Stegostoma tigrinum: one gene and its partner. The protein of the gene in region 1 binds, or shares a complex with, the protein of each later gene. Links are inferred from orthologs where the notes say so. Each region holds a gene or a part of one and is shown in the gene's direction. Other genes may lie near its edges.

Evidence for each region. The genes of interacting proteins can lie anywhere in the genome.
Region 2: the proteins of metal transporter CNNM2-like (region 1) and ADP-ribosylation factor-like protein 15 are in contact, whole or in part, in a crystal structure (PDB 8F6D), measured with the Homo sapiens proteins. The link is inferred for Stegostoma tigrinum from reciprocal best matches to the Homo sapiens genes CNNM2 and ARL15. Residues at the interface, in NP_060119.3 of Homo sapiens: Asn490, Val492, Pro521, Leu522, His523, Phe524, Val525, Phe526, Thr529, Glu537, Lys542, Ser543, Gln549; in NP_061960.1 of Homo sapiens: Tyr92, Ser94, Arg95, Gln98, Gln128, His129, Pro130, Gln131, Cys133.

The regions. Positions count from the first base shown.
Region 1 is NC_081373.1:8,219,537-8,227,567, forward strand, and holds the start of metal transporter CNNM2-like, read left to right. Parts: upstream 1-5,000; 5' UTR 5,001-5,573; coding exon 5,574-6,990; intron 6,991-8,031.
Region 2 is NC_081354.1:126,662,031-126,669,753, forward strand, and holds the start of ADP-ribosylation factor-like protein 15, read left to right. Parts: upstream 1-4,698; 5' UTR 4,699-4,773; coding exon 4,774-4,827; exon of another isoform or gene 4,828-4,909; intron 4,910-7,263; exon of another isoform or gene 7,264-7,306; coding exon of another isoform or gene 7,307-7,339; intron 7,340-7,723.

The DNA.
Region 1 (8,031 bases):
CTCCTGGAGTCTGCTCTGCCATTTAATAAGATCGTGACTGATTTGATTTTAACCTCAAATCCACATTCCTGCCTACCCCAAATAACCTTCCACCGCTTCTGCAGCCCTCTGAGGTAAAGGGTTCTTCAGATTCACTGTCCTCTAAGGGAAGAAATTCCTCCTGGTCTCTGTCTTAAAAGGGTGACCCCGTATTCTGAGATTATGCCCTCTGGGCCAAGGCTCTTCCACAAGGGGAAACATGTAGCCTGTCAAATCCCATAAGAATCTTATACGTTTCAATATGAATCTGTTTCAATCCCATTCTTCTAAACTCCAATGAGTACAGTACTGAAGCTCTCCTCATAAATCCCTCCCCATCTGGGATCAGCCAACTGAATCTTCTCTGGACAGCCTCCAATGCCAGTATACCTTTCCTGAGGTAAGGGTCCCAAAACTGACTCGTGCTTTGTAGTTTTAGCAAGATATACTTTTAAACTCCATTCCTTTTGAAAGAAAGGCTAGCATTAAATTTTCCTTCCCTATCACCCATTGTATCACTGTGCTAGCTTTTTGTGGCTTGTGCATGAAGACTCCCAAATCCTTGTTTCCTTCTGCAGTCTTTCTCCATTTAAATAATGTTCAACTCTTCTACAGATCATCTATTGTGCCAACATGCCTCAGACAAGAACACATTACAGAATACTGTTGTGAGAGCTTCTTGTGCACAATTTGATTAGTGCATTTCTACATTACAGAAGTGACCACAATTCAAAAATATTTGATTGGCTGTCAAATACTGTGGTCACAAATGGAACCACATAAATGCAAGTCCTTTGCTTCATGGATTCTCTGATGCCATGCAACTTTAACCTGCTGACTGCACATTGTGCTCACCAGATATTAATCCTTTGGAGAATCATTCCTTTGGTTTTCATGTCCACCATTCTGGAAGAATGTAACTTGCGGTTAACTCATGGGAGACATACATGCCATGATTAATATTCATAAGATTATTAAATCTGAATGGATTTAGGGCCAGTCATATCACTTTAGATGTATGACAAATGGTTTTCTAATTATAATGTATGTGTGTTAAGCCTATAAAACCTAGAAATATATTTTTTTAACAAAAACATACTAAATTTAGCAAGTACATTCTATGGTTTTCTTTGCAGCGCTAACAAAATGCAGTTCAGTATTACAACAAGTGAAGAAGTATGGATTGAACTGGCATTGTAGAGGCTAGAAGACCAGCTGGACCCATAAGCCTACCTGTGGAATTTTGTTTTTATTACAGCAGGTGGATACAGCTTTGCATAACAGTAATTTATCATTTGATCTATACCTTTTAATATGTTGCTAGGCATTGCGATTTGCTCACTGCAGTTTCCTCGGTTTTGTATCTGATCAGAATGCTCTGTCATTGTCCTATACAATGCTTATAATCTCCTTTTTAAAATGTATATTTGTGGGGCTGCTGAAAAGGTTTATTTTCATTATCCCTTTCTAATTTTCCCAGGAAAGAAATCTGGGTCTTCTGTCTGGACAACTCTTAGGATGAGGTGTTAGGTGTGGAATTCTAGGTCAGATATAAAAAGATGTATGAAATTCTTATCAGAGATGATTTTGCTGAAAAATATATTTTCTGAATTACATATTATTAATCTATACAATTTATTTAAAACAGAAGTCAACACTCAAATTCAATTTGAGTTTCTTGACATACAAATGAGTTTTGAAAAAATGTGTATGTAAATAAGTTTAAATAAAAAATGACAAGTTAATAAAAATGTGAATGTGAGGTTTATAATATTCATTAAAAAACAAATAAAAAATATAAATGCAATGGTGCTGATATTCATGAAAAGCAAACACCAATTTGAAAAGAATGTGAACTGAAGAAGTTTAAAAGATTTGTTGAAAAACAAATGACCATTTAGAAGTCACATGCCACCAGGTTACAGTCTAACAGGTTTAATTGAAATCACAAGGTTTTGGAGCACAGTCCCTTCGTCAGGTGCAGGGAGGGAGGAGAGCACACAGGCACAGAGTTTATAGGCTGACAGATCAAAAGATTAGATTACTGGGGTGAGTGGTGTGTAAGAACACTACAACTACATGCTGATCCAACCAAAGAACACACCTGACAAGTCAACAGACTGATCAAGACTTTTGATCCTGACCTTCAGAGCATCCTGTGCATTTCTTGCACAGGAGACTTCTACAGCCTTCTGAAGATACACAAAGCCAACACACTTGAACATCCCATTGTATGAGGCAATGGGACCTTGTGAGAGAACCTCTCTGGCTATGTTGAGGGCATCCTGAATCCCATTGTACAAGGAACCCCAGCTTCTGTCACGACACTACAGATTTCTTATAGAAACACAGCAGCCACAGGCTAGTTGAACCAGGAACAATCCTCGTCACAATGGACATTTCGGAACTCTACACCAGCATCCCTCACAATGATGGCAACATTGCAACAGCCTCAACACCGCTGACTGCCAATTTCCAGATGCCAACTTTCAACTCATTTGCTTCAACGTTGACCACAATGTCTTCACCTTTGGCAACCAGTTCTTCATCCAGACACATGGAGCAGCCATGGCGCCCAGATTTGCACCCCAATATGCCAGCATTTTGTGCACAAGTCTGAGCAAGGCTTCATTGCTGTGCAGGACCTCCGACCAAAGCTATACACCAAATACGTTGACGATATTTTCCTCCTTTGGACACATGGTGAGGAATCACTGAAACAACATAACCACTGCATAGTGATGTCAACAAGTTTCACCACACCATTAGACTTGCCATGGCCTACTCTTCAGAATCAGTCACATTCTTGGACACATGCATCTCCATCAAGGATGGACACCTCGGTACCTCACTCTACCACGTTCCTATGGATAACCTTACAGTGCTGCACTTCTCTAGCTTTCACCCTAAATATATTAAAGAAGCCATTCCCGACAGACAAGCCCTGCACATGCACAGGATCTGCTCAGATGAGGAGGAATGCGATGGACATCTAAAGGTTTTGAAGGACACCCTCATAAGAACAGAATATGCTGCTCAACTCATTGATCGCCAGTTCCGACATGCTACAGTGAAAAGCCGCAATGACCTCCTCAGCAGACAAATACAGGATACGACCAATGAGGTATCCTTTGTCATCCAGTAATTCCCTGGAACATGTCATTAATAATGATGATCATCTCATCAAGATCATCCCCATGCCTTCAAACAACCGCCAAGCCTTAAACAGGCCATTGTTTGCAGCAAACTACCTAGCCTTCAGGACAACATTGACCAGAACATTGCACAACCCTGCCATGGCACTCTCTGCAAGACATGTCAGATCATTGATAGGGACACTACCATCACACATTGGAATACCGCCCACCATGTACATGGCACATACTCATGTGACTCAGCCAATGTTGTCTATCTCATATGTTGCAGACAAGGATGCCCAGAGGCACGGTACATTGGTGAGACCATGCAAATGCTATGACAATGGACGAATGGACACCATGCAACAATCGCCAGACAGGGGTGTTAACTCCCAGTGGGGGAACACTTCGGTCAAGGACATTCAGCCTCCGATCTTTGGGTAACTGTCCTCCAAAGCAGACTTTGATGTATACAACCACGCAGAATTGCTAAGCAGAAACTGATAGACAAGTTCCATACAGATGAAGACATTCTCAACTGTAATCTTGGGTTCATGTCACACTACATGTGACCTGACCATACTGTTCTGAACCTGTAAAATCTTCCTTACTGTCCTGTTTGACAGCATCACCTTGATAATTTTTTAAATGATCTCTCTACATTAATTAGATTGTACAATTTTGAATTACTTATTACTTTGGTTAGACCCTGGGCATGTGAGTCTTATATCACTTATGTTATTCCAGCACCACCTTATTTTTAATTTTTTGTAATTATCTCTCTGCCTCACTTAATTATAGGTCAGCCTTTTGCTGGTTATTTCACTGTTGACGCTTGACTCACTGTCTAACACTCTTGGTCACCTGCAGAGACTTATTTTCTGACACTGCACTCACAAAAGTTCTATGATCTTTTGAATTCTCTGCCCTTGATCTCTCTGCCTATAAACTCTGTGTCCGTTTGCTCTTTCTCCCACTGCACCTGACGAAGGGGTGCTCTGAAAGCTTGTGATTTCAGATAAACCTGTTGGACTATAGCCTGGCGTTGTATGACTTCTGACTTTGTCCACCCCAGTCCAACACAGGCTCCTCCACATCATTTTTAAAAAGTTAAAGTGCAGTTTACAAACTTCATTAAAAATATAATTTGAAAAGGAACTTTAACAGGAAGGAGGTTGCAACATCATTAAAAACAAACTACAGTTTTAAAAAGAATGAACGTAAAAACGTTAAGACGTGAATGTGAAGAGCTGTACAATCGTTATTTTAAAATTCGATCAGATTTAGTAGTTTGACTCATTCCATTAGCATCTTCATGTGAAAGCCTCAGATAAAACAAAGAATCGCGGACTTCGGAGTGCTGAAACAAACGCAGAAATTGTTGCAGGAACACAGCAGGTCAGGAGTCATCTACGGAGAGAGAGAAAACAGAGTGAATGTTTCAAGTTCAATGACCCTCCTTCAGAAAGTGAAAGCCTGAGATTTGCTCTGACTTGTCTTGACAGGTACACACACGTGCGCAATTGACACCCTGTGACAACTACAAGTTGACTTTTGATACAAAACTAGAGCATGACGCCTGCGCGTCCCGACACTCTCCATTGGCGATCTCCGCACGCTCCAGCCTCTCAGATTGGACACCCGGTAACATCACGTGCCATCTGAGGGCCACTCGGAATGTAGCATGGGCGGGCCGCTCCCCCAAATCGGACCTGCCCTCCCACGTGGGCCCGCGCCGCTCACAGGGGACTATCCCCTCCCTATGTCCCCACCCATGCCTCTCTCCCTATTTATTTCAGAACCCTGTCCCCATCCCCCTTTTCTGATGAAGGGTCTAGGCCCGAAACATCAGCTTTTGTGCTCCTGAGATGCTGCTGGGCCTGCTGTGTTCATCCAGCCTCACATTTTATTATCTTGGAATCTCCAGCATCTGCAGTTCCCATTATCTCTGACCACAGGGGACAGCCTGTCGTCTTGTGCCCCGCCCCCAACGGTGTGGATTGGTCGAGGTTCACACCACCTGTCACGCCCATCCACCACCTCTGCGGCCTCTGAATGGAGAGGCCAGCGTGTCAAGCAGGGAGATGCATCCAATGGGGGAGAGGAAGGTGGGTGGGGGGGCGTGGACCGTTGGCTGGGGCTCGCGCCGGCGTTCGCTCGCAGTTTGAAAGCTTGAAGGGAGCGAGCGGGAGCTGAGGAGGAATAGGAGAACGTTGTGACTGGTTTTCGATAAAAATAATCATAAAAACTCTATTATGTCCGCTCAAAATGGAACAGAATGTGCAGGAAGGGGAATAAAAGACACTTAATATAACTGTTCGGTTTCCCCTCCCTTTTGCTGCTTTTATAAAATAATTATATTTTTTTCCCCTGAGGGGATAAGGGAGGGAGGGAACAGCCTCCATTTCCATTACAAACATGGCGGCCTGCAGCAGCGGCCGGCTCGGCTTCTTCACCCTGCCCGCCTTCAGCGTTTGCTGCTGCTGCCTCGTCCTCCTGCTCTTGTCGAGCCTGAGCGGGCGGGCGGCCGCCTCCGACGAGGGCGACACGGTCATCATCGGCCTGAGGCTGGAGGACACGGACGAGGTGACGGGCATGGGGGGCGGCGTGCTGCGGGTCAGCGAGCGGACGCGGGTCCGGCTGCGGCTGTACGGCCAGCGAATCGACAACAGCACCTGGAGCCGCATCGGCTTCACGGAGCACCGGCGGACGGCCGACGACGCGGCCGGCTTCGACCCGTGCGGGGTGCGCACCTCGGACATCGTGGTGCTGCCGGGCGTCGCGGTGAGCCGCCGCAGCACCGGCGTCATCGAGATGGACGTGAAGCCGCTTCGCAAGACGGAGAAGAGCAAAGCCTACTACCTGTGCACGGCGGCCCGGGCTCCGGAACCGGGCTCGGGGCAAGCCGACTGGCTGTACCACGACACCGAGGACACCATGGTGGTGGTGGTGGAGGAGAGGAAGTTCCTGTTGCCCTTCTGGCTGCAGGTCATCTTCATTTCGGTGCTGCTCTGCCTGTCGGGCATGTTCAGCGGCTTGAACCTGGGGCTGATGGCGCTGGACCCCATGGAGCTGCGGATCGTGCAGAACTGCGGCACCGAGAAGGAGAAGAACTACGCCAAGCGCATCGAGCCGGTCCGCCGCCAGGGTAACTACCTGCTCTGCTCGCTGCTGCTTGGCAACGTGCTGGTCAACACCACGCTGACCATCCTGCTGGACGACATCGCCGGCTCCGGGGTGGTGGCCGTGGCTGTCTCCACCATCGGCATCGTCATCTTCGGCGAGATCGTCCCGCAGGCCATCTGCTCCCGCCACGGCCTGGCGGTCGGCGCCAACACCATCGTGCTGACCAAGTTCTTCATGCTGCTCACCTTCCCGGCCTCTTACCCGGTCAGCCGCCTGCTGGATGTCATCCTGGGCCAAGAGATCGGCACCGTCTACAACCGCGAGAAGCTGCTGGAGATGCTGCGGGTCACCGACCCTTACAACGACCTGGTCAAGGAGGAGCTCAACATCATCCAGGGCGCCCTGGAGCTCCGGACTAAAACGGTGGAGGACGTGATGACCCCGTTGCGAGATTGCTTCATGATCACCGGCGACGCGATCCTGGATTTCAACACCATGTCCGAGGTCATGGAGAGCGGATACACCAGGATCCCCGTGTACGAAGGCGAGCGGTCAAACATCGTTGACCTACTTTTCGTGAAGGACTTGGCATTTGTGGACCCCGACGACTGCACCCCTCTGAAAACCATCACCAAATTTTACAACCACCCCTTGCATTTTGTTTTCAACGACACGAAGCTGGATGCGATGCTGGAGGAGTTTAAAAAAGGTGGGAGAATGTTGATTATGTTTCTGTTTTTCACCCTTGGTGGTCAGGCTACGTACCTCAGTTCTTTTTGCATGAGTTTGTGTTGTCAACCTATAGCAGCGCAACTCTAACCGAAAACACGTTCTACACATCTTAAAACAGTTAGTGTAAAAGCGGTTACCACCTATATATATTTATGTTCACCTGTAAATGTTTCGTTGACACTCTCACTTTCTCCCAACGTACAGCCAACCGCTGGCATAAGATTCATTAGGTAGCCTACCTCTAACATCTTTTCTATTCTCCCCGACTTCCAACATCTTGAACTACAGTTAAGTTTCGACAGTGTAAACCATTCAGTTTCTCTTCGTTGGCGGGACAGGGTGTGGGGGCAAGAGCTGAATCTTAAGTTATGATATTTTTGTAAACCATAAATAAGTCTTACTGTTAAATATAATGTGTACTCAACACTGTTCATAATATTTAATAAACTTGTCTGCTATTCATGAGACTTTAAGATGTGTAGCTACGTAAAATTTGATAACCCAGTGCTTGTCTGATTGTGTACAAGATTGTAAGGACTCTACTTGAGATTCTTTCTGGCTGTTGCCATGCCATTGGTTTGCCAACATTTTAAAGACTTTGCATTCCAATACATGTAAATATAAATATAATGTGGTGAGACAATGGTGTCAGTTTTTTATTCAACATCTAGTTGTGTTCTTGGTACAACATTTTGTTAAACCTACTAAAAATTAGTTTAGCAAATGTTTTTAAGAAAATAGTTGTTTGGTCTTAAATTTGGTGTTCTGTACCAAAAAATACTTATAGATGATGGATGTGTCTGGCAGGATTGATTTTCTTACTGACTGTAATCTATATGCTATGTGGAAAAGTCCATGTGACTTGCCTCGTACGCATGAAAATGGAATTTAAAGCACACAGTGTCAGAATACATAGTGCTTTCAGGCAGCAGTATAGTGACTGAAATTTCTAAATTGTGATTTCTAGAATTTTTATTTACCATTGCTTGGGGCTTATTTTTGCCATATCTCTGATAAT
Region 2 (7,723 bases), on another chromosome or scaffold:
TTCCACATTAGCCGAGATATTGCTAGATTTTAAAAAATCCATTGACTTATGCCACAGTGATGGGGTCCAGAAACATAAAAATAAATTGTTGGAAAAGCCCAGCATATCTGTGGAGAGAAATTGGAGTTAACTTTTTGGGTTCATTGTCACTTCCTCAGTACAGTATCCAGTAAGCCTGGATTCAAATCCCATCTGCTTCAGAGATATCTGATAGCATGTATGAACAGGATGATTAAAATGATCTAAAATGCTTTGGAAGCATGTCTCGCTTTTCAACAACGGATCCTATTTTAAAAGTACTTTGTATATGAGAAAATTGTTTCCCCGTCCTTGTCAATCGTAAAGATGCTACAGAATTGTACAATGGAAAAAAAGTTCTTCACTGACAATATTGAGTTTATCTTTGGAAAGGAAAGCGAGCAAACGTTATACTTTTGACAGCAAAAGACATTAACAGCTCCTATAGAGGTAGTAAGAACTGCAACTGCTGGAGTCAGAGGTAACAGTGTGGACCTGGAGAAACACAACAGGCCAGGTCGCATCAGAGGAGCAGGAAAGTTGATGTTTTGGGTTAGGACCCTTCTTCAGAGTCCGCCTATTTTGTTTTGACGATAAGTTACTAATGTTGGGCTTTAGCTATACTTTCAAGAAAATATGCCATTAATATTCCTATACGTCATAACTGACAGCAGAGGCTTTCTATGCTCTAATGGCATTCCTTTTTCTTTCCCTTATTTTCCTACAGTCGCAATGTTTGGTGGCATTTCAAAGGTAATCATTACATGAATTAACTGAACTGGGTAATAATTATTATTAGCACAGTGGGACCCTACATTTTTGGATAAAATTCCGGTTGTTTTGTGCATTCCATTTCAGAATTTGTTCTGAAGACTTGGTTTCAATGCCAGAAATTAGCATTAAAGAGGGTTCGGTTTGCATACTTTTATATTGTGGACATTGGTGTGGACCTGAGTGCTAAGTTATATACCACAGAAAAGAAAACTGGGGATTTTATGATTCAGACCCTTCAGTCCACCCGTCCATGCCGAACTGATATCCTAAACAAATCTAGTCCCATTTGCCAGCATTTGGCCCGTATCCCTCTAAACCCTTCCTGTTCATCTACTTCTCCCCCTTCCCCTCTCTGATGGGCCTAGGCCCGAAACGCCAGCTTTTTTGCTCCTGAGATGCTGCTTGGCCTGCTGTGTTCATCCAGTTTCACACTTCATTACCCTGTTCATCTACCTATCCTGATGCCTTTTAAATGTTGTAATTGTACCAGCTTCCACCACTTCCTCTAGTGGTTCATTCCTATGAGACTACTCTGTCCACCTGCAGCTCCACTTTCAAGGCACTATGAACCTGCATTCCATTGCTTTGTTGTTTGGCAACACATCCCCCAGAATCTTACCATTAAATGTAATGTTAATTGAATTGGCTGAAGACTGGCATCTATAAGTGATCATGTTCCTCTTTTTGGTTAATTAGCCACCACCTTTTATGACTGTATGTGGCCATATTCTACATTTGCACAAGCAAAAACAGAAATTGCTGAAATGACTCAATAAGTTTGGCAGCATGTGTGGTGAGAAAGCAGAGTTAAAATTTCAGTCCAGTGAGTCGTCTTGAAAACTGAAGCTGGGAAAGGTTTGGTAAATGTGCTAAAGATGGAGTTGGAGGGAGGATGGAGGAGAAAATGATAGGTGGAGATGGAGCAGAGAGCAAGAGAGAAACAGTTGGGCAGACAAAGGAATGAATAAAGGTCAGCCTAGGGAATGAATATCTGCAAGTGGGGATTATTAGTGGCTAACAATGGGTTATTTATGATAGAAGCCTATGTGATAAGGCTTTGATTGAGTGCAGAGCTGAACAGCTCCACTTCTCCTCCATATGCGGGATCAACATAGTGAAGCTTCTGTTGTGCTTTTTGTTGTTCACATAAATGATTTAAATGTGAAAATAGTAGGTATGGTTTGTATGTTTGTTCATGACACCAAAGTTCATGGTGTAGTGGAAGCAAAGAGGGCTTCCTCAGAGTCCAACAGGATCTTGATCAGATAGACCAATGGATTGAGAATGGCAGATGGAGTTTAATTTAGGTAAATGCTAGGTGCTGGATTTTGGAGAGACAAATCAGGTCTGGACTTAATCACTTAATGATAAGGTCCTGGGGAATGTTGCTGAACAAAGAGGCCTTGGAGTACATAGTCATAGTTCCTTAAGTGGAGTCACAGGTTGACAGGATAGTGAAAAATACATTTGGTATGCTTTCCTTTTTTGTTCAGTATATTGAGTATAGGAGTCGGGATATAGGTATATGTTGCAGCTATACAGGATATTGGTTGGCCCCTTTTTGGAATACTGCATGTAATTCTGGTCTCCCTGCCAAAGGAAGGTTGTTGTAAAACTTGAAAGGGTTCAGAAATGGTTTACAAGGATGTTGCCAGGGTTGGAGTGTTAGAGCCATTGGGACAGGTTGAATAAGCTGGGGCTATTTTCCCTAGAGTGTCGAAGGCTAAGGGGTGACCTTTATAGAGGTTTATGAATCATGAGGGGCAAAGATAGGCTCAAGAGCCAAGGTCTTTTCCTAGGGTAGAAGGCATAGGTTTAAGCTAAGAGGGGAAAATTTTAAAAGGGACATAAGGGGCAACTTTTTAATGAAGGGGATGGTTTGTGTTTGGAAAGAGCTGTCAGAGGAAGTGATGGAGGCTAGTACGATTACAACAATTAACAGGCATCTGGATGGGTACACAGAGATAATAGGAACTGCAGATGCTGGAGAATCCAAGATAACAAGGTGTGGAGCTGGATGAACTCAGCAGGCCAAGCAGCATCTTAAGAACAGGAAAGCTGATGATTTGAGCCTAGACCCTTCATCAGAAATGGGGCAGGGGTTCTGAAATAAATGGGGAGAGAGGGGGGAGGTGGATCGAAGATGGATAGAGGAGAAGTTAGGTGGAGAGGAGACAGACAGGTCAAAGAGGCAGGGATGGAACCAGTAAAGGTGAGTGTAGGTAGGGAGGTAGGGAAGAGAGAGGCCCGTCCAGGGAGGACGGACAGGTCAAGGGGGCGGGATGAAGTTAGTAGGTAGGAAATGGGGGTGTGGCTTGAGGGTGGGAGGAGGGGATAAGTGAGAATAAGAACAGGTTAGGGAGGCGGGGCTGGTTTTGGGATGCGGTGGGGGGAGGGGAGATTTTGAAGCTTGTGAAGTCCACATTGATACCATTGGGCTGCAGGGTTCCTAAGCGGAATGTGAGATGCTGTTCCTGCAACCTTCGGGTGGCATCGTTGTGGCACTGCAGGAGGCCCAGGATGGACATGTCATCTCAGGAATGGGAAGGGGAGTTGAAATGGTTCGCGACTGGGAGGTGCAGCTGGTTATTGCGACCCGAGCGGAGGTGTTCTGCAACGTGGTCCCCAAGCCTCCGCTGGTTTCCCCAATGTAGAGGAAGCCACACCGGGTGCAGTGGATGCAGTATACCACATTGGCAGATGTGCAGGTGAACATCTGCTTGATGTGGTCAGTCTTTTTGGGGCCAGGAGTTGTGGAAGCAAGTGTAGCACTTCCTGCGGTTGCATGGAAAAGTTCAGGATGTGGTGGGGCTGGAGGGGAGTGTGGAGCAGACAAAGGAGTCACGGAGAGAGTGGTCCCTCTGGAAAGCAGACAAGGATGGGGAGGGAAAAATATCTTTGGTGAGGTCGGATTGCAGATGATGCAAATGTCGGAGGATGATGCGTTGGATCCGGAGTTTGGTGGGGTGGTATGTGAGGACGAGGGGGATTCTCTTTTGGTGGTTATTGCGGGGACGGGGTGTGAGGGCTGAGTTGCTGGAAATGCGGGAAACACGGTCGACGGTGTTCTCAACCACTGCGGTTGGGGGGGAAGTTGCGGCGTTTGAAAAACGAGGACATCAGAGATATACGGGAGTGGAATGCCTCATCCTTCGACTCCGCCGCAGCTGCACCCAGGAATTGGGAATAAGGGATGGCATTTTTGCAGGAAGGTGTTTGGAAGGTGGTGTATTGGTATGAATGTTGATATGAAGAATTTAGAGAGATATGGACCAAATGTTGGGAAATGAAGATTAAGGTATCTGGCCTGCATGGATGAGATGGACTGGAGCATCTGTATCTGTGCTGTGCATCTCTATGACTCTGACCACCTCTGTTTTCAGTGCATCTTTCCTTTAGATAAGGGATCCAAAACAGTTCATGGTTACATAATGGCAGTCAGCGTACTGTAATTGAACTATAATATAACTGATTATAGGACTGCCCAAAGAACACAAAGCCCAAGAGCTAAGAGCAGACTAGGCAAAAAGCCCCTTGAAACTGTTCCACTATTCAATAGGATCTTGGCTGATGTTACCTTGTCCTCCACTCCGCTTTCCTATTCATTTTCTATTTACGCTCTGCTTGAAAATCCGTCTACCTCCTTCTCAAATTTACTTAGTGTTCCACTATCCACTGCAATCTGGGATAGTAAATGGAGAAGCATGGAGTGAGGTGAAGGCGCAATGAATTCTGACGGGGTAGAAAACCATCAATGACAGTAGAGATGGAAATTCAGCCAGATTACATTTGTAGGAATGGGGAATGGGCAGGGTTGGGATCGTGCAGAGGAAAGGGGCGGGGTCATGTGGAATGGTACGGGGGGGCGTGGCTGCGGTGATGGGCGGGGCTAGTGGTGCCCGTTCGTCGCGAGGCCCCGCCCTCCGGTCTGGTGGCCGCAGCCGCCGGTTTTTCCGAGAGGCGGTACCTGTATCCCGGGATATGGGCCAGTGTTTGGAGTTGTCGGCCGCTGTGTGTCGAATCGGCATTTATTCGGTAGGATCTCCGGGTTGGGACCGGCCGTATTTGAGCTTGGGCCGGGCAGACAAGCTCAGATTAAGTGCCGTGCGTCCCCAGGGTAGGCCTTGGACCCGAGCCCACCGCCCGCGAGTCAGCAGCTTATTGAACCTGCTTTCAACTCTGCACCTCCTCAGGTGTCTCCACTGGCAGTATCCTCATTTCAGTCCCCCTCCCCCTTCCCAAACCCGTCTCCAGCCCCTCTCGCCTCTTCCCGCCTCCCACTTGGTCTCCGGTTTCCATCCCCTCTGCCCCCCCCACTTCTGTTTGCATCTTCCCTACCACTCTCTGCTTTTTCTTTCCCTGTCTCTGTTCGCCCTCACCCCTCCGTCCACAGAGTTATACTTTTTGCTCCTCACCTACGTCTTCTCTCTCCATGCGCCTCATCTCTTGTTTTATCTTACTGTATCCTCATGAGCCATAGCTGGTACCCTATTTAAATAGCTTGTCACTCTGTACATTAATACTCATTAGTTTTCAACTGGCAGTATCCTCATTCTCACCCCCTTCCCAAACCCGTCTCCAGCCCCTCTTTTTTTTTATCCCCCCACCCACATTCGTGTTCACTTTAATGCTCTTAATTCGATTCTTGTTTTCAATCGTTTTTTTTCCTGAAGCTTCAGATGTTGAATTGTATGCTAACGTTTATTGTATGTTTATCAGCTATGGTGTTTTAAAATGTCGTTCAAATAATTAGATTAACAGTATTTAAGTTTAAAATGATACCCACTTGTACATAACCTTTCCATAATGGCATTGTTGGAAATTGAAGTGTTTACAATATAACCAGTTTAAATTTCTTTGATTCTTTTCAAAATTTGTACTTTACGGCATTCTTATTTCTGAAGGTCATTATGTACGTTCTGGTGATGAAATGAGGGTCATAACTGGTAATGCGAGTGAGGCTTTTTTGGGTGGAAATTCAGGATATTTTCATATCTTTAGCTACAAGACAATGCACGCTGGACAATTGGAGCTTTTAATGTTTGAAAGCTGAGGCTGTAGTAGGCTATTGAAAGGTTGACAAATGAAGCTGAGATGTAGATGAGGCATTACTCATCTGAATTGTGGAGCAAGCTGTACTTACAATACTTCCATACTAGTTGATTGCAGCATTGTGTTTTTAAAAGGTACTTTGTTTTCTGACTGACCCAGCAGATCACTACAGGTTGTTTAGTGAGAGAGCCTTAAATTTTTGAGACCACTGGACTAGAATCAGTAAAGGCTCTGATGCATAACCTTTTTAAAACTTTATTGCATTCTTATCTTATTTCACCAGTTTTTTTTTTGTTAGTTTTTTGCTTCAGGAATCAAGAGAGTAAGTGAAAGGAGAAATAGGTGGAGAGACTGATGACCAATATAAAAGTGAATCCGAAAGTCGTCTTTAGGCATGTGACTAGTGAAAGGGGGAGTAGGATTGATTTAAGTATCAAGGGAAGAAGATTCATGCAAGGAAACAGGGTGTAATAGAGGTACTGAATATGTACTTGTATTTGTCTCTTTGAAGGAACATGCTGCTCAAGATGCTGAAAGGTGAGGTAGTTGCGATGGTGCCAAAACATTAGGGAGACAATGGCATCATGGTTATGTTGCTGAATGGGTAAAGCAAGGTTCAGGCACTACAGACATGGGTTCTAGTCACACTATGGCCACTAATAGAGATTAAATTTAGTGATTTTTTTTTAAAATAAAAAAAGTCTGAAATTCAAGTTTGGAAATGGAAACCATGTCAGTGTAGTTGATCAATCAGCAGTATTAAACAATGTTGTTTAGAGAAGGAAATCTGCTATCCTCACCTGGTTTGGGCCTCCGTGTGACACTTGTTCGATGGCAAAAAAGTTTGACTTCTGTATCTTATCAGAGGACACTTAATGATGGGCATCAAGAATTGTCAGGGAAAGCCACCTCCTGTGAAAGAATGCTTTAAGAAAAGTGACACGGAGGAGGGATGACAAAGATGGGCTGTATTTTAAGGTTGGTAAGTCACCAGAACTGGGTGAGATGCATCTTGAAAAAAGTTACAAAGGCATTGATAGTAATCTTTTAATCCTCCTCAGGTACTGGAATTGTGCCTGCAGACTGGTAATCGACAATACTGCTCTCTTATTCAGAAAAGTTGTCAAGAAGAGCTTAATAACTGTAGACTAGTCAGTTTAACCCCTCAATGTTGGGAAAGCTTCTAGAAATGAAAATCTAGGACATAGTTATTAGTCACTTGGACAGATGATTTATTTGAGGAAAGGCAACATAGATTTAAGTACAACTTATGTTTAAGAAATTTGAACAAGGTTTTTGTTGAAGTAGCAGTGGATTGACGAGGTCAAAGTTGTAGATGTTGTGTATTTAGACTTCCTAAAGATGTTGCAGAAGGAACCCATTGTTCTATATTCGACTAATTTACCTGATCTCTATTAGTGATCCAGACTACTGGGTGCAGACCAGAATTTCAGACTTTGCAATGAAACTGTTGAGAACAGTGTGCAACTTGAAGGTAAATTTATTTACTTTTATTTTCTTGTTAAGAAGGCAAAACCATAGTTAATAATTTTAAGTTACATTTGTGAACTGATGCTTCGGTACTTCGATGCTTCAGAAGTCTGGAGGACAGTTTTGTACACGTGTGTTTCATGATGGAGATGATGACAAGGGCTCGATGCTTTTAAAACAAAAGGGGCAAAGAAACCTGGGCTGTTGCTGATTAACAAGAATCTTCAGTTACCTGTAATAATAATGCATTTTGTAAGTTAATATTCCCTTTCCTTTTGTTCTGGAGATCTACTCTGGGTTTCAACAACTTGACTTCCAAAGTTTCTTTTTGAGTGTCAGATAAAAAATCATTTCAGTCAATAAGATTTGTACTCGTGTGTCTGTGTGA